Linked DNA regions of Rattus norvegicus. The protein of the gene in region 2 binds, or shares a complex with, the protein of the main gene of each other region. Links are inferred from orthologs where the notes say so. Each region holds a gene or a part of one and is shown on either strand. Other genes may lie near its edges. The genes, in order: Cbll1, Zc3h13, Mettl14, Rbm15b, Wtap and Rbm15.

The links.
Region 1: Zc3h13 (region 2) and Cbll1 share a complex: the UniProt entries of both Homo sapiens proteins name them as parts of the WMM complex. The link is inferred for Rattus norvegicus from reciprocal best matches to the Homo sapiens genes ZC3H13 and CBLL1.
Region 3: Zc3h13 (region 2) and Mettl14 share a complex: the UniProt entries of both Homo sapiens proteins name them as parts of the WMM complex. The link is inferred for Rattus norvegicus from reciprocal best matches to the Homo sapiens genes ZC3H13 and METTL14.
Region 4: Zc3h13 (region 2) and Rbm15b share a complex: the UniProt entries of both Homo sapiens proteins name them as parts of the WMM complex. The link is inferred for Rattus norvegicus from reciprocal best matches to the Homo sapiens genes ZC3H13 and RBM15B.
Region 5: the proteins of Zc3h13 (region 2) and Wtap are in contact, whole or in part, in a cryo-EM structure (PDB 7VF2), measured with the Homo sapiens proteins. The link is inferred for Rattus norvegicus from reciprocal best matches to the Homo sapiens genes ZC3H13 and WTAP. Residues at the interface, in NP_001317494.1 of Homo sapiens: Arg1512, Pro1514, Gly1515, Ala1516, Ala1517, Leu1518, Lys1520, Phe1521; in NP_001257460.1 of Homo sapiens: Asp202, Glu203, Asp206, Phe207, Gln210.
Region 6: Zc3h13 (region 2) and Rbm15 share a complex: the UniProt entries of both Homo sapiens proteins name them as parts of the WMM complex. The link is inferred for Rattus norvegicus from reciprocal best matches to the Homo sapiens genes ZC3H13 and RBM15.

What each region holds. Positions count from the first base shown.
Region 1 is NC_086024.1:53,809,986-53,813,977, reverse strand, and holds the start of Cbll1 (E3 ubiquitin-protein ligase Hakai), read left to right. Parts: upstream 1-1,192; 5' UTR 1,193-1,214; coding exon 1,215-1,227; intron 1,228-2,015; exon of another isoform or gene 2,016-3,355; coding exon of another isoform or gene 3,356-3,521; intron 3,522-3,992. UniProt on the Homo sapiens protein: E3 ubiquitin-protein ligase that mediates ubiquitination of several tyrosine-phosphorylated Src substrates, including CDH1, CTTN and DOK1. Targets CDH1 for endocytosis and degradation.
Region 2 is NC_086033.1:57,075,781-57,078,740, forward strand, and holds part of Zc3h13 (zinc finger CCCH domain-containing protein 13), read left to right. Parts: intron 1-319; coding exon 320-483; coding exon of another isoform or gene 484-500; intron 501-2,960. UniProt on the Homo sapiens protein: Associated component of the WMM complex, a complex that mediates N6-methyladenosine (m6A) methylation of RNAs, a modification that plays a role in the efficiency of mRNA splicing and RNA processing.
Region 3 is NC_086020.1:214,214,665-214,218,038, reverse strand, and holds the end of Mettl14 (N6-adenosine-methyltransferase non-catalytic subunit), read left to right. Parts: intron 1-1,442; coding exon 1,443-1,747; 3' UTR 1,748-2,874; downstream 2,875-3,374. UniProt on the Homo sapiens protein: The METTL3-METTL14 heterodimer forms a N6-methyltransferase complex that methylates adenosine residues at the N(6) position of some mRNAs and regulates the circadian clock, differentiation of embryonic stem cells and cortical neurogenesis.
Region 4 is NC_086026.1:116,422,575-116,426,783, reverse strand, and holds the start of Rbm15b (putative RNA-binding protein 15B), read left to right. Parts: upstream 1-1,409; 5' UTR 1,410-1,513; coding exon 1,514-4,177; 3' UTR 4,178-4,209. UniProt on the Homo sapiens protein: RNA-binding protein that acts as a key regulator of N6-methyladenosine (m6A) methylation of RNAs, thereby regulating different processes, such as alternative splicing of mRNAs and X chromosome inactivation mediated by Xist RNA.
Region 5 is NC_086019.1:50,069,510-50,073,772, reverse strand, and holds the start of Wtap (pre-mRNA-splicing regulator WTAP), read right to left. Parts: upstream 2,801-4,263; 5' UTR 2,616-2,800; intron 2,516-2,615; exon of another isoform or gene 2,382-2,515; intron 2,340-2,381; exon of another isoform or gene 2,033-2,339; intron 1-2,032. UniProt on the Homo sapiens protein: Associated component of the WMM complex, a complex that mediates N6-methyladenosine (m6A) methylation of RNAs, a modification that plays a role in the efficiency of mRNA splicing and RNA processing.
Region 6 is NC_086020.1:197,639,898-197,643,867, reverse strand, and holds the start of Rbm15 (RNA-binding protein 15), read left to right. Parts: upstream 1-1,170; 5' UTR 1,171-2,038; coding exon 2,039-3,970. UniProt on the Homo sapiens protein: RNA-binding protein that acts as a key regulator of N6-methyladenosine (m6A) methylation of RNAs, thereby regulating different processes, such as hematopoietic cell homeostasis, alternative splicing of mRNAs and X chromosome inactivation mediated by Xist RNA.

The DNA.
Region 1 (3,992 bases), on a different chromosome or scaffold from region 2:
TTTTTTTAAAAGAGGCCAATATAATAATGTTTTATTGATCTAGGAACTCTGGCACTGAAAGCGTGAACAACCCAAGGTAACAATGTCGTCACCAAGGGACGACCATAGAGCCCAAATCCCTTGACTCCTAGGCTGATGTTTTCCACTAATTGTGCTCCTTTCTACTCATCTGAGAGCTTCAAGTGTGAAGGGCTGGAGAGGGGAGAAGACCTATTATGAGCCAAATCTAGGTGGGGGGTGCTCTGAAGGTCCTCACCAATCGCCGTTGACACTTGCTTTTGTTTTGGCTGAGCAAGATGAAAGCAGCAACCACAGACCCCAGGGACCAAGAACTGGAACTAGGTACCGCCTGTTTTGGTAACTCTCTTTTCCTCAGTCGGGGCCTGCCCTTTCTCATTTCTTCCCTCTGCCCAAGCCCTAACGCTTTCCCTCCGACTCCATCGGTTCCTATCCTCCCTCCTTCACCTTCTCTGCACACAACTGCCTTGCATCCTCGATGGACCGGGACAACCTGGAACTCCCTACAGCTTTTGCAGGGATTAGAGGCGCCTGGTGTTCTCTAGAGCGAGGGGCTAGTCAGCATTATACACGCATTTCAGTTTGAGAAACTACGGTAAGAGCCAGGGCGAACGCGCGTGTCGAGTGGGCGTTGGGGCTCATCAGGACAAAGCCTGATTAGGCAATAAGAACCTTTCCTCCCTCCCAGCACCTAACTCAGCTTCCCTCGGGCAAGAACGGAGCGCGCGTGTTTACACTTCTCTATACCCAGCGGCGGATCCGGGGGGCATTCCAAACCGTTACTCCGCCCGGTGGGGTGGGACCAGCCTAACGGCTGAGACTGCACTCTGGGTGGACTACAAATCCCAGAAGGCCTCGCGCCGCAGGGGGTGGGCGGCGGCTTACCTGCCTGCCTCGCTTCCCTCTGGTTCCTATTGCTCTCCCACTGCAATAGATATCCTTCCTACAGCTGAGGGCAGCCTCTGGGGAGAATTAGAAGTCTCGGCACCAGAGCCCTCGTGTCCCCTCTCTTCCTGCCTCAGTCCTGCCTATGTGTGACTCCCTCACCAAAGTCGGATGGTGCGGTTAGGAAGGGAAGCCAGTGAGAGCAGTCCCAGCGCACTTCCGCCTCTGCGCTCCGGAAGGTAGGGCGCACGCGCTTGCTGCGACTCCGGAGCGACTCACTTCCGCTCCCACTGTACCCTGCGAGCCGAATCATGGATCACACTGGTAAGGAGGCGGAGGCAGCGGGGGTCCTAGTTTCTTGCCCCCGTGGCTCGTGTGGGACTGGTCGCCCAGCAGGCACAAGAGGCTACGCTCGCCCCAGTGCGCCGGGACGTGGCGGAGAGGAAGCAAGCTCAGGCCCGGTCCCGGACTGGGCCTGCTGCTTCCCGGCCTACCCTCGGAGCGGTGCCTCCATCCTCGAGACCGGCAGCACCGCTTCTTTGGTGCCGCTGAGCTCGTTTCGGAACCCTTCGCAGCGCAGGCTTCTTGGAAAGGGACGGCCCCAGTTTTGTTGTGTTTTTGTTTTTGTTTTTCTCATTCCGGTTGCTTTGCACTTTGTGCTGGGGAAATAGGCGGGTGTTTTCCACTCTCGGAATTGGAGAAGCGTCCGGACTGTGGGCGAGAGTGGGTTGGAGACTTCCTGCTGCTTCTCAGCTTCGGGCGGCTGCTGTAGTGGTCATCTCCTGTGGTTATTGTCTTGTTGGCTTTTCGCGGACTGGTAGTTAGAGAATAAAGGCGGATATAGTTTTCGAACTTATAAGTGGAGCATCTTTTTTCTACCTGAACTCAAAGCATGCCCCGCCCTTCGGCCGTGGTTCTTTCGCATCTTTTGGGGATATATACAGAATTTTTAAGATCAAGATATTTTCATCTTATATTGCGAGTAGCTTCAAACCTCGTTTCTGCTGGCTTCGTTTTCTTGGTTTTAGTTTTAGCGCTTGGCTTTGAGTGCTTCAGACAGTTATATCGCCAAGCAGGAGGAAAGGCTTTTTCTTTAGGAATTGACTGAGATGCGCGCAGTCTTCAAACACCACTTAGTTATGTAATTGCATGCAGATACTTGTAGGCTTGGAGATAGAATGATGGGATAGTAAACAATAGGACTACGTCCTTGTCTTCGAGTTTGCATTCTGTCAAAGGAGGCAGACAGGTTGGTTTCTTTTTTAAAAGCTCCTTATAGATTGTGGTGAGTACTTTAAGAAACAGGTGCTTATGGAGTAAGAAATTTCAGAGAGTACCAGGAAAAGGGCCCCCCCCCCCCACTTTGGAATGGTAGGAAGATATAGAGAAGACCAAATGTCCGTAGCTTAGTTAGTCCTAAGTTGAGAAGGAAAATACAAGTTACCTTTTTCAAGACTTTGAAAATCACGATAAAGAGTTTGAGCGGCTACAAAGCAGCTGAACAAAAGGGAGTATAATATTTTAAAAAATAATTCCTATTCTTCTATATAGAATGGTGGAGAGGAAGAACGGGGGTAAATAAATAATCTATGTGGTGGTTGCATTACCGTAGAGGGAGACCCAGTTAAAGCAAAACTCAGTGGTAGAGCAACTTACCTAGCAGGTCCCCAGCAACGCTGTAGGGGAAGTAGGAGCAGGACTGAGAGAGTAGGCAATTGCCACAAATATTTTGGTGGCGATCCAGCAGCTGCTCATGGGTTTATGGAAGTATGTGAGAGAAATGAGATCCCGCTAGAACTGTGTAAAAGAATTATCCTAGTTTCTAAGTTATTAGCCAAAGGTTGCCTGGAGAGATAAGAACAGTCATTCTAACACGAAAACAATCACTACTGAGCTAGCTAGGTTAAAAAAAAAGTTTCCAGACAGCTCTCCTTTCTGTTTAATGGTAGCTTTTCTAGATTTTAAATCAGTTACAACACAGTCTCCTAGTGCTTCAGTTTCAATTGCTGCACATTTTGAGAAGAAAAAAAATCAAATTAAGTCAAAGACTAAATCAAGAAATGGCAGCTAGTTAGTTGACAGTTTTCTGACTGAGTAGACATCTCAAAATAATGATTTTAATGTCAAAGGATCAAGAGGTCTTTTAAATGGAAGTATTGGAGTAGAATTTTGCCAGAAAGTTTTCAGAATATTTTTAAATGGCAAAGACATTAGTGTTTCTCTGGATTGCAGAAGTGTTAGCAGTGAGCTGAGGGCCCTCTGGGGTGGAAAGAAGCAGCAAAAAAGGTGATGTCCCTGCAGCTCTTCAGGCCAGCTCTGTCCCCATGATCCTACATCTCAGAGGCACCCAGGCCAATAAAGATCCTGCAAACACTTGATTCATTCTTTGGTCATTGTCAGAGATAATCAGTGCTTAGGTAAAAGTAGCCCAATTTTTGTAAAAGACTGCTTCATGCTTTTTGGAGAGATGGACGCTGGGGACCGACCTGAACCCAGAACCTTCCTTCAGTACCTTAGACAGGTTCTATCAGTGAGCTGCATACCTGCCTTCAGTTCCTTGGCTCCTTTTATTCAAGATAAAATATTAAATGTGTTGTTTTTAAAACTATATAATAAAGGTATATTTGCTTTAAACTATTCTTGTTATCCCTTATCCAGATAATTATTACATGCTTTGTGTTTTGTTGTTTTGTTTCTATGTATGGGTGTCCCCACACAAACTTCAGATTTTTGTCACTTAAATCTGTGAGACAAACAGTAGCTTTAGAAACAGGCTCGTGAAAGGGCCAGGCTACTGTTTAAATAATGGAGAACTGTGTTATGTGGGCTGGTTCAAAGGCTGGGCAGGTAAAGTGTGTTGTTTTCATTCACAGAAGTAACACACTAAGAATCCTTGTGATACCTGAAGAGCATCATGTTGGCTATTTCAGTTCTTTGGAAAGTTGAGAATACATTTTGTGCAAGGGGAAAAAAGTATCTGTCATAGATCTGTATAGATCTATGTAGGTATTTCTATATGGGTGAGCAAATGCAGTGGAGACTGCTGAAATACATGAAAGACATTCCATTTTAGTGGAGTCTTGAAGATT
Region 2 (2,960 bases):
ACTGCTAGGCCACACACTGAGTTTGACTTAAATGCTCTTGCTTCACCTTTCTCCAAAGTCAGTAGTCAATGGCCTTATTCTCCCTCTGAAGACTGCTTTTGGCACATTTTAAATCTAAAACAACATCACACTATTGTTCTTACTAAGATGAACAAGGTACCTATGTGTTGAAGATCCTTTTATGGGGAACTATTGCTGCTAGCTTTGACAAGTCATTCACTAAGGTTTAGTAAATGAGGAGGTCTTGAAGTATTCAGTTAAGTCAGTGGTGACACTTACCTTTAAGGGAAACTTAATGTATGCTTGTTTTGATTGAAAGATGCAGACAGCCTTTTTGAACATGAACTAGGGGCTCTCAACATGGCTGCTTTACTTCGAAAAGAAGAGCGGGCGAGTCTCCTTAGTGACCTGGGACCATGTTGTAAAGCATTATGTTTCAGACGGGATTCTGCAATCCGGAAGCAGCTTGTGAAGAACGAAAAGGTACCACGCAGTGGTTGGTAGGAATAGTATGTTCCATTTTAACTGCTTGTGACTTTGCTTTCCTAGTCCCCAGGCACCTAAAGGAAGAACCCACATGGTGCTTGTTGAGTGGTAATTGTCATTCCAAACTTCATGCACAGAAAGTCTATTCATTCGTGAAATGTTTGCATGTGAGCAGAGCTCCTTAATGTAAGCAGACAGATCAGTCTGTGTATAGTATTTACTGCAGAGTAACAAAGGTGGTTTGAAGTCAGAAAGAGGAGTTTCTTTAGATATGAGAAGGATCTGATGAAAGAGTCTTAGGCTTTTTAAAGTTAGAAACTGGGACTGTAGGTGAATGTGGCCGACATGGGCAGTATGACAGAAGAAACTTGGTCTGGTAAAGTTAGAAAAGCACTGACTGAGATTTTACAGGAGTCAATAAGAAAACATTGATTATCTTTCTATAATATTGCTATAAAGAAAAATAGATTTGAGGAGATTAAATTTATAAAAAAAAATGATATGAACCCTCTCTAAAGATTAAAATGAACACAGGAGGAATGGGAGACTTTTTAGAAAGTCAAGTCTATGTGGCTAGAGAGCGGCTCAGCGGTTAAGAGCATTCACTGCTTTCCCAGAGGGCTGCGGTTCAGTTCCCAGCACCCTGTCAGGTGGCTCATAGCCACCTATAACTCCAGCTCCAGGGGATCCAGCACCCTCTTCTGGCTTCTGTAGGTTCTTTCTCCCTCTCCCTGTTTGTCTCCCCCTCCTTTATTCCCTCCTTCCCTCTCTATCTGTCTCATCTCACTGTCTTCTCCTTCTCTTCCCCCTCTTCCTTGTCTGTCTTTCTCATCTGTCTATCTTCCCCACATAAAGTCCTGATTAAAAATGGCTTTTGAAGAACAGTCATCATTCTCCTTTGCTATTTCTGTTTCGCATGTCCTTAATATCTCTCATTCTTCTGCCTGGGCACCGTCTCTCCTGGCAGCCTTTCTAAACTCAGCATTTCTCTCCTAAGCACGTATGTAGTCAGTCCTCTTTGTAGTTGGGCACTGATAGCAGTCACCACCATTCTATTATTATTTCCGTCTTATATTACACTTGCATCCTGTTATGGCTGATTCTAATAAGGAGTGCCAGTATCTTCAGGATACTGCCCACTTTGTGTAAAATATATTTTATAGTTCTTGTTGGTTCCTCCCTAATACACTGTTGTGTCCCTCAAATACAGTAGCAACTAAAAAGCCCTGAAAAGTCTCAAAGAGAATTGTTTAGAACCTTGTACCTTGTAATTCAGAGTACAGATAATTAATGGACCATATTACACATTGTGACGTTTAATGACTCATTATAAATGTCTTAATTGATCCATCCGCAGAAAGAATTGTGAGTGTTCCGATTTCTCAGTGTTAAAGACGTTGGCAGTAGCTGGACCTGGTGAACTCTGTTGTGTAGCTTGCGAACTCTGCTGAGGGGAGGTAGGAGGGTCTTGAGCTTGAGACCAGCCGAGGTTATAAACATAGCACAAGCTGAGAAAGGGACAGAACTGAAAGCAGTTTAAATGCTCCAAAGCCCCGTGAGAACACTGAGATTGAGCTTTGTGTCACTATAAAAGAGAAGAAGAGAGCAGTGCTGGATTCTCCTCCAGGGACAAAAAGTGGGAAAACCATTAATTACATATTTGACATTGTAACTTTATGGGAAAATTACTTTGAAGTATTTACATATAAAGCACCTTAGGAAAAATTAAGAAAACACATAGCTATTGTAAATGAATTTTAAAATCATTTTAGCATTATAATATTAGAGTAACACAGCAAATAAAAGGAAGGATATAATAGCAGATTAAAAAAAATGGAGATAGAAGGACATTAAAAAATTCATAGTAAAACCAAAAGCTGGGCTTTTTTGTTTGTTTGTATGTTTGGTTTTTTAAAGAAATTAGTCGTCTCCCAGCTAAACTAAGAAGACGTTGATGAGCAGTAACGAGAAGAAAAATTTCAATGACATTATGAATGCCATAGGGATAGGAGGATAGTAGGGGCCTGGGTGTGGCTCCATGATGAAGGGATTGTCTGGCAAGCTCACGGCTCTGGGTTCAGTCCTCAGCACTGAGCACCAAAACAGAAGAAGAAAAGACAAAGGTTGAGTTTAACGTTCAGTTTAGTAGCAGTGAATAGACTGAGTCCTCAAACTACGAAATCTGTGTAAGAATAGAAGACTTAAGTAGCTTTATATCTACTTCAGTACTACTCCTGGACATGCATGCTTACAAGTCTGCTATATATTACAAGAAAAGAAAAAGCCAGGATAATAACAAAACAAATACTGATTCTACACAGTGTTTCCAGAAAGAAAGCAGCAGGGCTCCTTCCTAGCTTATGTCACAGTCCAGCATTGAGAAAACTGCCGTTCATCCCCTCTCATGTAGACAGTCGTAAAGATCCTACACAATGTTGGGAAATCAAATTAAGAATAAATAAAGTGAACTCTGT
Region 3 (3,374 bases), on a different chromosome or scaffold from region 2:
AGTTTTATCTTATCAAACCGAGAAGGCAGAGAATGCCCATACACTCTCTGCCTCCCCCCATCCTCGGTAGTTCTCATAACTACAAAAGTCCATAATTTATATTAGGATTGATATTGCTGGTGTCTATGGATTTAAATGAGTTGGTTATGGTGTATGCCTACCATTGTAATGTTACAGTGAGAACGTTTTCTGCCTTCTGCTCCACTTAGTTTTTAACACCATAATTATCCGAATATTTGGGAGCATTGTGAGGTTTGTGTGTGTGTAGTAAGGTCGGGGCACTTGCCATACGTATCGCCTCACTTCTTTGTACTGGGAAATTATGCTGTTCTGAAGTGTTCAGTTGTTCCCTTAGCTAAGCTATGCATTGCTATGTCCTGGATTCCTCACTGTACGGTCTGTGGGCTTTTTCCCCTCACTCTTCCCTGGCCTTCATAACCTCCGCTCTAGTCTCTGCATCTTCCAGATGCACGGTTTGTTTCCACCTGTAAATGAGAATATGTGGTATGTGTTCTTTGCCTGATTTACTTCAGTTAGCATAATGCCCTCCAGTCCCATTCTAGCAATGGGATACATGGCATTCAGTTTACCCATTCCTCCATCAGTGGACACACACCTAGGTCACTGCTGTGTGAGCCGTACCACAGGCTGGTTTTAGTTCCTTTAGGTGTGTACCCGGAGTAGGGGCTCTGGCTGCTGTGGCGCCTCTCCTAGTTCTTTGAGAAACCTTCATAACGTGTTCCATAATAACTACTGTAATCCACCTCCCTCTCAGTAGCGTGTGGGAGTTCCACTTCCTGCAGCCTCCCCAGCCATACCGGTCCTTTCCCCTTTGATCACAGCTGTTCTGACTGAGGGGAGTTCTGACCGCAGCGAGATGATACCTCACTGTGCTTTTGTTTGCTTAGTTATCAGTAGTGGTGTACATTTTTTTCACAGACTTGGCTATGTGTGTATCTCCTTGTGAGAAAACTCATTGCCTGTGGAAAGACGGCATGAGAAGGGGCAGCATGGCTGTTTGGATCCTAGACCTGAGAAATGAGGACATTTTGTATAAAAGAAAAGCACATTTTCCTTCGTCAAGACTTAATGAGAAAACCAGTAGCCTCATTTTCATAAGTAGGAAAGATATATGTATATATTTTCTCAAATTTTTACCCAGCCCAAACATTTGTGTATTGAAATATCTTTTATAAGTGGTATTCTAACAACATAATAGATAAGGAACGGTTTGGATGACATGTAACATAAGAATGAGAAACAAGGTGTGTGTATACAAAACTTTTACAATATGGGTGACCGTTGGTGTGGTACACTGTATACTAGAGGTGTGGCTGTGTGTGTAACAGCCATCTTTGAGAATGTGTTAAGGACTTAGCTCCTAAAGGACCAACAAAAGAGCAAGGAGATGGAAATGTTTTCTGTTTCCCCCCTTGTTTCAGGCTGGCTCACAGTTGGACCAACGCTTACAAATAGTAACTACAATGCAGAAACCTACGCGTCCTACTTCAGTGCCCCCAATTCATACTTGACTGGATGTACCGAGGAAATTGAGAGGCTTAGACCGAAGTCACCTCCTCCCAAATCCAAGTCTGACCGTGGTGGTGGAGCTCCCAGAGGTGGAGGGAGAGGGGGAACATCTGCTGGCCGTGGTCGTGAACGAAATCGATCCAATTTCCGAGGAGAAAGAGGTGGCTTTAGGGGGGGTCGTGGAGGGACACACAGAGGTGGCTTTACACCTCGGTAGCTGTTACAAACGCTTAACAGTGTCCCCTCTGATCTTTTTTGTGAAGACTTGCTTCAGAACTCACTCCCAGCTTGCACTTTGCTTTAGTTTCTCATGCTGCCAGAAAGACCTTAGCCACCCACCCCCACCCCTAGGTCCTTGCAGTTGTCACAGACTGTGGTTCTGCTCAGGGTAAGTCACATGTGTGCAACACTCAGTCATGGGCTTGACTGATTTCACTCAAGGCTTTGGCTTCTTGGAAATAGGAGCGCAGTGGAGCACCTCTCAGAGGAGGATGGCAGGAATGGTGCTCTTTCCTTGTCGTGGCTGCCGCAGCCGCAGTAGGAGACTGGGAACCTGGGCAGAGCAGAACTGAGAGAGGCGGTCACCCTTTTTGGGGCCTTTAATGTTTTCTTGTTAAAACACTAAAAAGATGTAGTTCCCCCCCCCCCTTTTAAATTCTAAAAAATAACATGAAGTATCATTTGAGTACTGAAGACTCAGAGATGAAATGAAGTCACTTTCTTCCAGATCTGAATCTGACGGGGCTGGAGCCCTCAGGGAAGGTAATGGAAGAGGCAGAGCTTCCTAGATTTAAAACAAAAGCAAAACAAAAACCAAAGTTATCATAATGTAAATAACAGCTGCAGATGACATATAATCATGCTTCTTAAGAAGCAAGAGGAGGCAGGCACGTGTCAGGTCGGAGGGCTGTGTGTGATCTTGAACTTGGACTGACCTTCTAAGACAATTCATATTTCTTAGCAAAGGTAAAAACAGATTTGCTGGGGGGAGGGATGGTTCAAACAATCTAGAAAATAAACGCTTGATGATGAGGAAATGACATACATCTTTAAAGTTGTTATTGAACAAAATTTAGGTAAAAGCAATTATAGAAACCCTAAGGATACAGCTTGAGAGATGGGGTTGCAGTTGCCTTTGATTAGAGCTGTGTGGTGCAGATGTCTCTGCAGGGCTGATGTTCGGATCTCTTGGCTGTGGAAAGCTTCATACTGTTGTTTTTCTACACCTTAAGTCATGTTTGAATGGATTTGGCTATGCCAGATGAGATAATATCATTATTGTTCATGGTAACTCCTTTTTTTATTTTGCTATACTTTTCTAATAAAAAGTTTAAACCTTTGAAATGAGTTTGTTTTCCTTAAATGCAGTTACTATTGTTACCAAATGAAAAGGGACCAACCTAAAGTGACATCTGAGTTCCACTTGTCAGATATGGTCTCATGGACAGCCACGGAAATACAGTTGGAAGGCCTTACACTTTAAATGCTTGATGAGTTTGGCTCTCACAGGTGGTTAGAATATTTGCTGTGGTGGTGTTTTTAATTTCAGTAATTATAAATTATCCAAAGGCAGGGCTGTGTGTCAGATTTGACCTGTAAGGAGGGGATAGGAACTCCCATTTGTTCAGTCTGACTAAGGAATATCCCTTCCCCGCACATCAGATTCTTGTGTTCCCATTCTGAGCATAAAAGACAGCAACAATCTGGTGCGAAGCAAGATTTGCGGCTTCATAACATTCATAAGAAACTAACATTTCTTCAGCAGAAGACTCATTTCCTGGATGATCATATTGCTGCTGCTCCCAAACCCTCCATCACGTACTCAGATAGGAACATTGCTGGTT
Region 4 (4,209 bases), on a different chromosome or scaffold from region 2:
GCAGAACAAGCAGAATTGTCTGCACTGAGTGCAGGTGGTCAGAACTAGCATTTCTTTACTCTGCCTGGTACTTGTTATTAATTCATTGGGGTTCCAGTCTGGCATCAGACAGGGCCCCTGGCTTTCCTGGATTCTGGCGAGTCTAGCAGGAGTCAGTTTATGGAGCAGTGTGAACTTGTCCCAGAGGGCCTGGAGAGTTGTGCAGCACGGTTTTCAGTTGTTCCCTTGCTGGCATTTGTGACCTGTGCCTCAGTAAGGACACTTTGCTCCTGCTGCCTCGAAAGATCATGTGAAAGGAGTGACTGCTAAGAAGTTACATTTTTCCAAAGAGCGCGTCTTAGCTCTCCTGTGGTCCCCAGTTCACTTTGTATCAACGGGGCCTTACTTTCTGCCATGAAGCCCTCGGCTGTTTCTTCCAAGTTCCTCCTGCACTTTTCTCCTGCTGATTGCTTTTCTGCTTATGGGAGGAGGGAAGGCTGGGTGCCTTCTTCATCATTCTACAGATACATCAATGGATCCGCAACCATCTGTGGAGAACATAAGCCCTAGCAGCCTTTGGGTGCCCCTGCCGGTACTTCACCTCACCTCCTGGATGTGGCCAAGACACTGGCCAGCAAGATGTCAACATGGCAAGAAGTGATAACTAACGCCATTACCTGTGCTTTACCCTTGGTTCTGCCACCCCACCTTTCCAGTCTCCTGTCTGCCCAGACACCTACCTACAGCAGAAATTTGGACCCAGTGGCACCAAGATGCCTGTCTGTGGGTTGCAAACGCATTCTTTCTAGTTTATGTACCTGGACCTAGGGAGGTCTCACCTGTGTGGATAGTCTTCGTTTTCAGAGTCTTGTCAGGACAGTGCCGGAAGAATCTGAATGCACAAGATGGCCTGGATGTGGGTCCTGGACAGGGTGTAGGGATACTTGTGTGTCTACCTTCAAGGATGCCACTTCTGGTCCCAGTCAGAAAACTCCATGGAAGGGAATAGAATTTCTTCACCTAGTGGCAGGTTTGAGTGGGATACAACCCTTGGCTTCCGGCCAAGCAGCCACACCTGCTCCAGTGGGCGGGGTCCCGAGTCCGCCAAAGGTAGGCGGACCTGGTGTAGGAAGCCCTAGAGCACAGAGCCAGAGTGCAGCTGGGGCCTGCTAGGCTCCAGAGGGAATCCGCGCCCAACACGGTAGCCCGGTGCCTACCAACCACGCAGCGGCGCCAGAGCTCGCAGTCAGGCGGGCTCCTCTGTTTGCCAAGATGTCACGTGGTACAGGCCCGCGGAGCCCGGTGATAGGCGGCGAGCGAAACTCTCGTCCCGCCCACCTCGGTCACGTGGTACGGCCGGCGCAGCTTGATAACGCAGCTCCCAGCCCCTCGGCGCCGCTCCCGCCCCGCCCCGCCGCTGCCGCCGCGCCGAGTCCTTTTGTCCAAGATGGCGGCGCCGGGGGCGCTGCCTCCTGGGCTGCCGCCGCTGCCGCTCTGAGGGACCCGCGGGCCGCCCGCCCGCCAAGCCGGCGCAATGAAGCGGCAGAACGAGCGAGACTCCAGCCCGAGCGGGCGTGGCTCGTCATCGTCCGCCAAGCGGCCGCGGGAGCGCGAACGGGAGGCAGAGGCGGGCGGGCGGCGAGCAGCGCACAAGGCCTCCGGCGGCACCAAGCACCCGGTTCCAGCGCGGGCTCGTGACAAGCCCCGCGGCAGTGGCGGAGGCGGCGGACATCGCGACGGGCGCGCTGCTGGGGATGCGAATCACCGAGCAAGCAGCGGGCGCTCCTCAGGCGCGCCCGGAGGCGGAGGACGCACCGGCAAGGCCTCCGGGGACCCGGGTGCTGGGGGCGCGTCGCCCCGCGCATCTCCACTCCCGCCGCCCCCGCCGCCCCCCGGGGCGGAACCTGCGGGTCCCGGTACCACGGCGGCTCCGGAGTACAAGACGCTCCTCATCAGCAGCCTGAGCCCCGCGCTGCCGGCCGAGCACTTGGAGGACCGGCTCTTCCACCAGTTCAAGCGGTTCGGTGAGATCAGCCTGCGCCTGTCACACACACCGGAGCTGGGCCGCGTGGCCTATGTGAACTTCCGGCACCCACAGGACGCGCGTGAGGCCCGCCAGCACGCCTTGGCCCGTCAGCTGCTGCTCTACGACCGCCCGCTCAAGGTAGAGCCCGTGTACCTGCGCGGCGGCGGGAGCAGTCGGCGCAGTAGCAGCAGCAGCGCCGCTGCCTCCACGCCGCCCCCAGGGCCTCCCACGCCCGCGGACCCTCTGGGCTATCTGCCCCTGCACGGGGGCTACCAGTACAAGCAGCGCTCTCTGTCTCCGGTAGCCGCCCCGCCCCTGCGGGAGCCCCGTGCGCGGCACGCCGCGGCAGCCTTCGCCCTGGATGCTGCTGCCGCGGCTGCCGTGGGACTGTCTCGGGAGCGAGCCCTGGACTATTACGGGCTGTACGACGACCGCGGGCGCCCGTACAGCTACCAGGCCGTGTGCGAGGAGGACCTGATGCCGGAGGATGATCAGAGAGCCACTCGAAATCTCTTCATCGGGAACCTGGACCACAGTGTATCTGAAGTGGAGCTTCGACGGGCCTTCGAGAAGTATGGCATCATTGAGGAGGTGGTCATCAAGAGGCCTGCCCGCGGCCAAGGTGGTGCCTATGCCTTCCTTAAGTTTCAGAACCTGGACATGGCACACAGGGCCAAGGTGGCTATGTCTGGCCGGGTGATTGGCAGAAACCCTATAAAGATAGGCTACGGCAAGGCTAACCCTACCACCCGCCTCTGGGTGGGTGGTCTTGGACCTAACACCTCGCTGGCGGCCCTGGCCAGAGAATTCGATCGCTTTGGGAGCATTCGGACCATCGATCACGTCAAAGGAGACAGCTTTGCCTACATCCAGTACGAGAGCCTGGATGCAGCCCAAGCTGCCTGTGCTAAAATGAGGGGCTTTCCCTTGGGTGGTCCAGATCGCAGGCTCCGGGTGGATTTTGCCAAAGCAGAGGAGACTCGATATCCCCAGCAGTACCAGCCCTCACCTCTCCCTGTGCATTATGAGCTGCTCACTGATGGATATACCCGGCATCGAAACTTGGATGCTGACCTTAGGGTGCGGGACAGGACCCCTCCGCACCTTCTGTATTCAGATCGAGACCGGACCTTTTTGGAAGGGGACTGGACCAGCCTTAGTAAAAGTTCAGACCGCAGAAACAGCCTGGAGGGCTATAGCCGCTCAGTGCGAAGCCGGAGTGGTGAGCGCTGGGGGGCAGATGGGGACCGGAGCATAGCCAAGCCCTGGGAAGAGAGACGAAAGCGGAGGAGCCTTTCCAGTGACCGCGGGAGGACAACTCACTCCCCTTATGAGGAACGGAGCAGGACCAAGGGTGGGGGGCAGCAGTCTGAGCGAGGCTCGGACCGCACCCCTGAGCGTAGCCGAAAGGAGAACCACTCCAGTGAAGGGACCAAGGAGTCAGGCAGCAACTCCCTCAGCAACAGCAGACATAGTGCTGAGGAAAGGAGCCACCATCACCACCACCACGAGGCTCCAGACTCTTCCCATGGGAAAAAGACTAGAGAGAGTGAACGCAATCATCGGACCACTGAGGCAGAGCCCAAGACTCTTGAAGAGCCAAAACATGAGACCAAAAAGCTAAAGACTCTGTCAGAGTATGCACAGACACTGCAGCTGGGTTGGAATGGGCTCCTAGTGCTGAAAAACAGCTGCTTTCCGACTTCTATGCACATCCTTGAGGGGGACCAGGGGGTTATCAGTGGTCTCCTCAAAGACCACACTTCTGGCAGCAAGCTGACCCAACTAAAGATTGCCCAGCGTCTTCGCCTGGATCAGCCCAAACTGGATGAGGTCACCCGTCGCATCAAGCAGGGGAGCCCTAACGGCTATGCTGTGCTCCTAGCCATCCAGTCAACCCCCAGCGGGCCTGGCGCTGAGGGGATGCCCATGGTGGAGCCAGGCCTGCAGAGGCGGCTTCTCAGGAACCTGGTCTCCTACTTAAAACAGAAGCAGGCTGCAGGGGTGATCAGCTTGCCGGTGGGTGGGTCTAAGGGCAGAGACAGCACTGGCATGCTCTATGCCTTCCCGCCCTGCGACTTCTCACAGCAGTACCTCCAGTCAGCACTTCGGACATTGGGCAAGTTAGAGGAAGAACACATGGTGATAGTCATAGTAAGAGACGCCGCCTAGCCCACCTGGCCTTCCAGCTGTCTGTGTCACAA
Region 5 (4,263 bases), on a different chromosome or scaffold from region 2:
TGACTGCTCCTTCAGAGGACCTGGATTCGATTACCAGCAGCCACACTGTAGCTCATAACAATTCTAACTCCAGACGTACGACAAAACACCTATAACTTTAAACTTATTTGTGTAGACAGTTCAGAGAATTCATCTCAGTTTAGAATGCCATCCACTCTTAAAGCCTAGCTTAGGCTGTGGAACTGCTTTAGTTGACTAAGTGCCTACCATCCCAGATCATAACACTATGATCCTAAGTTAGGCAACTTAGTACTCTCTGGAGAAAGGCAACCACACGCCAAGGTAAGTTATGCAAGAAGGCATGTATATGGCTCGCTGAAATAAATCACAGTGGATGTTAAGAAATGGCATCGTCTGGCAGTGCTGGAGCCTCAGCACTGCAGGAGTAAGGGGACTTGTTAGAAATCAGAACACTATTTCAGTCTCCTGTTTATGTGATCAAGTCACTTAATTCTTTGGGCTTCAGTTTCCACATCAGTGTTGCTTAGGGCACAAAGTACTGCAGGTCTGTTATTGGTACCATAAAAACACTATACAAACAAGGACTGCCTGAACACAATCAACACAGGAAATAAACTCTACCAACTTCATCTTTAAAGCAAAGAACACTGAATCTTGTCTGATGGAAATGCCTAACACCTAACACCAATAGCTTATTCAATGATGGGAATACTGGAAAAAAAAAAACTTCCCAAGCTTAATGAAAAGAAATAGGAAGTATTTAGAGGAAGAAAGTGGGAGATAAAAACAAGAATGCATATCAAGTAAAACTTCTAAAGAGCATGATAAATTTAACTACACCTTACACCAATTATCTAGGCGGCTAACAATATTTTCAAGAGTCTACATTATATACACAAAAAGACAGGAGGGACCTTGAAAATGGTAATGCTCTGTCCAAATACATCAAATGGCTATTACAAACCATAATTTAAGTAGTGTTCAAACACACTCATCTGTTTAAGAATGAAGAACTAAAGCACCCTCAGAAACACATCTGCCCAAATCCTTAAAATTCAGTTCCAACACATCAGAAGCCATCCTGTAGACTGCAACTTTCCCCAACTTGCCTGAGCAATAGTTGCTGAATGAATGAAACCTAGCCACCTCAAAAAATGTCTGTTTTTAATAGTTTCAGATGCCTACATATTTACCTATGAGAAAACCTGGTGCATGGTTTTAAAATTAAGTACTTTTAAAAATTTTTTGTAAATGTTTTGCATGTATGTATGTGCATCACGTGCATGCCTGGTGCCACCCACAGAGGTCAGAAGAGGGAAGTCAAAATTCCCAGGAACATGAGTTAAGGATGGCCACGAGCCATCAATTGGGTGCTGGACGAGCAAAAAGTACTCTTAACTCCTGGGCCAACTCTCCAGCTCCGATGCTCAAATAAATAAGTTAAAGTGAAAAACAAATAGAATTTGTAGTAACTGATTTGTGACTTCCACTTATCTTTCCAAATAATAAAATTAACTAAATGAAAAAAGCGAGGCTATAGTGAGAACGACAAAAAAGGCATAAATACAATTTACGACTATAACATGCTCACCGATCCTTACAACCAGTGTGCAGTGTCTTAGTCCTTTGGGGTCAAATTAACTGACTTCCTCATTATCAAACCAAGAACTGTGGGCTCGGGGATTAGATGAATGGCAGAATGCTGGCCTAATAACATGCATGCACAAGGCCTAGCGTTCCATCCCTAGCCGCCCCCGCCCTCCCCAATAAGAAAATATGTACACAAACAGAAAAACTTAGGTCTTTTCTCACTGTGCACTGTCTTATGAAAATCAAGTTTAAATATAGTCAAATCAGCCTTACAGAGATCCAAAACTAGACTAAAAGTTCACGAAAAATTTCAGGAAGCTGTCAAAAAAATTAACTACTCTCACAATGCATACTTATGTAAAAATGGAAGTCCACATGAGAACGTGGCTGCAATGACAAGCTACTGCGTGACGTGAAATTCCTTTTTTTTTTTTTTTAAAGAACCGAATGCATCACTTGGGTCATACAGAACTATCGGTACCTCTAGGTCCCGGGTGACGAACCCTGGAAGGTGGGAGGGGGCGACAGAGGCGGGGAAAGGACAGGCATGGCCAGTCAGCCCCGAGAGGGCGGCCTCCGGCCTCCCCGCCTCCCCAGTCGCGGGAACGCCCGCCTTGTCCCCTGCCGTCAGGAACGGGAGCAGAATGGCTGTGAAACGGTGCAAGTATCCCCACGAGCAGCAAACCGCTCTGACTAACGGGAAGCCAGCGCGGCCGCAAGCCCGGTCGCCCTTCGGGCCTGGAGTGCGTTTCGCCGGGTCCAGGGCGGCCGCGCCTCGCTTCCCGTCCCTGCAGGCCCTCGTGGCCATTCCCGCCGCGGGCCGCACCTACCTTCCCAGCCCGAGGCTGCGCGGGCGCCGCCAGTCACACAGGCCGAGGCCGCGCCGCCGCCGGCCCCCCCCCGCACTCCTCCCGCCGCAGCCCCGGAGATAGCCTTTATTTGCGGGTCTCGCAGCCACAAAATGGCGCTGAGGGAGGAAACCAGGCCCCGCCGTCGGCCCCGCCCCGCCTCGAGTGCGCCCCGCCCCGAGTGCGCCGCCGATACCCCGCCCGTGGCCCACTCACCCGAGACGCGCCTCTCGGGCGCCGCCTCGGTCACCGTGCCCGGTGCCTCCGGCCAGAAGAGACGAGGCGAGGCCGGCCCGCTCGGGGTCTCGGGGCGCGGAGGGGCAAGCGGCTCTCCGCAGCCGCACCGAGACCGTCCGCGGAGGTTCGCACCTGCCCCGTGGGGGCTCTGCAAGCTTAGCCGGGATGGGGAGGGAAGCGGCCGGAGAGAAGGGCGGGCCCGCGAGGTCAGAGGTCACCCGCGAGGCATCACGGGACGGCGGCCGCTGCCGGACACGCTCGGCGGGGCCACCTGCGGCTGCAGCACGGCCTGGGCGGAGGAATCCGAGCCGACGAGCGCGTGATTGGCTCTTCGCTGCAGGCCGCATAGCACAGGATGCTTCCGCTCGCGCTGCCGGAACGCGGAGACAGCAGCTTCACGCCTAAGCGCCCCTCGTCCTAAGTTTGGGGGCCTTAGAAGCCGCCGCTTTCCCTGCGGCCGCCGGCTTTGCTCCTTGTGGCGTCTCTGGGCTTAAGTTGAGGTGCAAGGAAGCTGCGCCTGTGGGACGTTCCAGGGCAGATCGCACACCAGAATCCCGGAGAAGGCAGCAGAGTGAGGATTCTGGAGTCCGAGAAATCACTCCAGTAAGACAGTCGCCTGGATTACAGCAAGAACGGCGTTAGTCTGCAGTCTCTTCAGCACTTCCCAGATGGGACAGTCATATTTAGGTTTAGTCGGTTTTATGAGAGCAGTTAATCCCCAGCGAAGGTGTCCTGGCTGAGATCACTTATAAGTACACAATTACAGTAGAGACCAGATGACCAGAGGAGCCATGGTGTTCCACTTAGGCTAAGAGAAAAAAAGGTCTTGGAAAACTAAAGAAAATGGGAAAAGACATGAACAGATGATTCACAGAGAAGATGTCCTTAAATATATCGTAGGAGGAGGATCAACTTTGTTTATAATGGAAATACACATTGAAATCCTGTATCCTGGTAGGGATGCAGTCATTAATAGTTAATGTGTTACTTTGGAATTACTACTGGGCTGAGTGAATAAAGCAATGTGTAGAAATACATATACACATATATGTAGGCACATACTGGGAAGACAGAAGGATATTGCAGAAACTTAATACTTACTCAAAAAGTGGTAATGGCTATAGGAGATAAAGGTAGAAGCAAGGCTTCTCTGAGTTCAAAATTTATGAAGACAAAAGGTAAAAACCCTTCAAAGTCAAGTAAATTGAAACGAACCAATTGACTCTTAAGCAGTTTGGCAGTGGAACTGAGACATAGACAAAGAATATATATAGCTACAGTGTTTTGAGTTTCACACTCTGGCACTGTGCCTGTGGATACCTAAGAATCACTCAGTTTCACTAAGTGATTTGTAATTATAACATTGTTGCTGTGGTTTTGAAGTTATGTTTATTGTAGTACAAACATTTCAATGTTACTTTCTCCAAAGATTTCTAGTGTAAAAGAAAATAAGATACAGGGCTGGAGAGATGGCTCAGCGTTAAGAGCACTGGATGCTCTTCCAGAGGTCCTGAGTTCAATTCCCAGCAACCACATGGTGGCTCACAGCCATCTGTAATGGGCTCTGATGCCCTCTTCTGGTGTGTCTGAAGACAGCCCCAGTGTACTTATATATAATAAACAAATG
Region 6 (3,970 bases), on a different chromosome or scaffold from region 2:
CTATGCTTTATAGTATTTTGGGGTTTATAATTTACCTATCAGGCTTCTTTCAAATCTTTTTGATGTAATCAAGAGATTTTGGACCAAGTATTCACCAATTTCAAGATTATATACTAACAAAACAAATCGGCTGAAATAGGGCTAATCAGGTTGCTGTATCTAGTCTTCAAATAGCTTTTAAATTTAGAATTAAGGGTTTTTTTTGGGGGGGGCATTCTTATCACCTTGTAAAATGTCCTGTTTTAAAACACATTCTCAACTCAGTCTTAAAAGATGGGAATACCAGAATCTTTCTAATGTCTTCAAGGTACATATTTGGGGAGACTGCAAAAAAGCCTATTTCGCGGTTGGGGATTTAGCTCAGTGGTAGAGCGCTTGCCTAGCATGCGCCAGGCCCTGGGTTCGGTCCCCAGCTCCGAAAAAAGAAAAAAAAAAAAAAAAAAAAGCCTATTTCCCCTCACCAGGAGGTAAGCACCAGTGGTATAGACTATCCATCTTTTTTTTTTTTTTTTCTTTTTTTCGGAGCTGGGGACCGAACTCAGGGCCTGGCGCTTGCTAGGCAAGCGCTCTACCACTGAGCTAAATCCCCAACCCCTACCCATCTAATCTTATGATCACCAGTATTACACAAGCTTACGAGACTCCTTACAGATGCATGGGGTCACCGAAGTTGGTGGCGGGGAGACGTTTAGATTTGAATCAGGGTTAAAGGAGTCAAAGGAGGGGGATCTAGGAGGGGACAAGGTGGCCATGTTACTGGATCCTAATATGGATTAATCGGAGTGCTGAGGTCCAAGAAACGAGATAAATGTAGTACCCGCACAGTGAGAAGCGTTACATATTAAAGCTAAGCACAGCTACCTTTCACAAATCTTTTATGAATGCAAATCCTACACATTTTCACAACATAAATCAGGAAGCAAAAAAGGCCTGCAAGTGGTCCTGCAGGTCAGACCAGTCGGTAGGCCCGGAAGCCCGGAGTGTAGGTCACTGCCGGGCCCAAGGCGGCCAGGGCTGCGCTCTGTTTCCTATGTCCGCGGGCGGGCTGTGACTCGGTACCGCCCAGGGCGTCAGCGTGACCCGAGGCTCAGTGAACCCTGAACTCACCGCCCCAGCCAGCCGCACAGACCGGGGCAGGCGCTTTCTCGCGCACGGGGGTGGGGCTTTTTCAGGCTGCTAACTAAGATGGTGTCGGCTGGACTTCCCGGGACAGCTGCCTAAGCGGATCGAGGGCCAGCAGCCGGAAGGACCACCGAGCCCATTGTCCCGCCCAGACAGGACAGTGCGGAGCCCGCAAGTTCCAGACTCGAAGGACCGAAGCACAGGCAAGTACGCCGTAGGACCTAACAAATGTTTAAGAGAACGCCGAAAGCGCGGGGAGGCGGGCCTGACTCACTGTCACCGTCTCGCGACAGCTAAGTGACGTCGCACAGCAAGCGCGTGGTAGAGTCTTTCACCTTCAGACTCCTCAGTTTATGGGCCTACTCCTTTAAGTGAGTGATGGACAGCGCTTTTATCCAATCATTTTCCTCGTCAACATCCAATCAGATTTAAACTTTATTCAGCCGCCGGAGAAGTTGGAAGACTGGGGTTGAAAGAGAGCGAGCGAGTGAGCGAGCGAGCTCTTTGTCTCTCGCGAGATCCGAGAGAGCCAAGTTCTCAGGGAAAAACGCCTGAACTGATGTCCAGACTTCCCAAGTAGTGATTTAAAGGACGTGGCCATAAACCAATGAAAGGGAAGAGAAGGTGGGATCGCTGCTTTCGCCGTGCTAGAAGTACCGTTACAGGGCAGACTTTTTGTCCAATCAACGCTTCTAGGCTTTGGGTCAGGTGACCATGAAGTGCGAGGGGCGGAGCTACAGCCTGGCGCGAGGAACCGTTAAGATAGACAACGAATATAACCAATGAGGTACTGCGATTAGGGCGTTGGGAACCCAATAACAGCGTCGGGGCGGGCGCCTTCCCGGAGCGCGGGGAGATGTAAAGACGGACAAATAGTTTTTCCAATGAGAAAGCTGAAGAGTGAATTAATTGACCAATGAGGTCTGCGGGGCGGGAGCCTTTGCCGCGGCGGAGTCCAAGATGGCGGCGTGCGAGTCCGCTGTGTGAAACGAGCGCGGGGTGGCGGGTTAGTCAGCTCCGCAGAGACGACCTCCGGCGACCCTCAACAATGAAAGGAAAGGAGCGCTCGCCAGTCAAGCCCAAACGCTCCCGTGGCGGTGAGGACTCCAGTTCTCGTGGGGAACGGAGCAAGAAGTTAGGGGGCTCTGGCGGCAGCAATGGGAGCAGCAGCGGGAAGACGGACAGCGGCGGGTCGCGGCGGAGCCTTCATCTGGACAAGTCCAGCAGCCGAGGCGGCAGCCGCGAGTATGATACCGGTGGGGGCAGCTCCAGTAGCCGCTTGCATAGTTACAGCTCCCCAAGCACCAAAAATTCCTCAGGCGGGGGCGAGTCGCGCAGCAGCTCCCGGGGTGGAGGCGGGGAGTCACGTTCCTCTGGGGCCGCCTCCTCAGCGCCTGGCGGCGGGGACGGCGTGGAGTACAAGACCCTGAAGATAAGCGAATTGGGGTCCCAGCTGAGTGACGAAGCGGTGGAGGACGGACTGTTTCACGAGTTCAAACGCTTCGGTGATGTAAGTGTCAAAATCAGTCATCTCTCAGGTTCTGGCAGCGGGGATGAGCGGGTAGCCTTTGTGAACTTCCGGAGGCCAGAGGACGCGAGGGCGGCCAAGCATGCCAGAGGCCGCCTGGTGCTCTATGACCGGCCTCTGAAGATAGAAGCCGTGTATGTGAGCCGGCGCCGCAGCCGCTCCCCGTTAGACAAAGATACTTACGCCCCGTCGTCCAGCGTGGTCGGAAGCTCTGTAGGTAGCCACAGGCACGCCCCTGGAGGAGGTGGAGGTCAGAGATCGCTTTCTCCTGGCGGTGCTGCTTTGGGATACAGAGACTACCGGTTGCAGCAGTTGGCTCTTGGCCGCCTGCCTCCTCCACCCCCGCCACCATTGCCCCGAGAGCTGGAAAGAGAACGAGACTATCCGTTCTATGACAGAGTGCGGCCAGCATATAGTCTTGAGCCGAGGGTGGGAGCTGGAGCAGGTGCTGCTCCATTCCGAGAAGTGGATGAGATATCACCTGAGGATGATCAGCGTGCCAACCGGACACTTTTCTTGGGCAACTTAGATATCACTGTGACAGAAAATGATCTGAGAAGGGCTTTTGATCGTTTTGGAGTCATCACAGAAGTGGACATTAAGAGGCCTTCTCGTGGCCAGACCAGTACTTACGGCTTTCTCAAATTTGAGAACCTAGACATGTCTCACAGGGCCAAAATAGCAATGTCTGGCAAAATTATAATTCGGAATCCAATCAAGATTGGTTATGGGAAAGCCACACCCACTACCCGACTTTGGGTGGGTGGTCTGGGACCTTGGGTGCCTCTTGCTGCCCTGGCACGAGAATTTGATCGATTTGGCACCATTCGAACCATAGACTACCGAAAAGGTGACAGTTGGGCATATATACAGTATGAAAGCTTGGATGCAGCTCATGCTGCCTGGACCCATATGCGTGGATTCCCACTTGGTGGCCCAGATCGTCGCCTTAGGGTAGACTTTGCAGACACAGAACATCGTTACCAGCAGCAGTATCTTCAGCCTCTGCCCTTAACCCATTATGAACTAGTGACAGATACTTTTGGACATCGAGCACCTGACCCTTTGAGGAGTGCTCGGGACCGGACACCACCCTTACTATACAGAGATCGTGATAGGGACCTTTATCCCGATTCTGATTGGGTGCCACCCCCGCCACCGGTTCGGGAACGCAGTGCTCGGGCTGCAACTAGTGCCGTCACTGCTTATGAGCCACTGGATAGCTTGGATCGAAGGAGGGATGGCTGGTCACTGGACAGGGACAGAGGTGACCGGGATTTGCCTAGCAGCAGGGACCAGCCAAGGAAGCGAAGGCTGCCT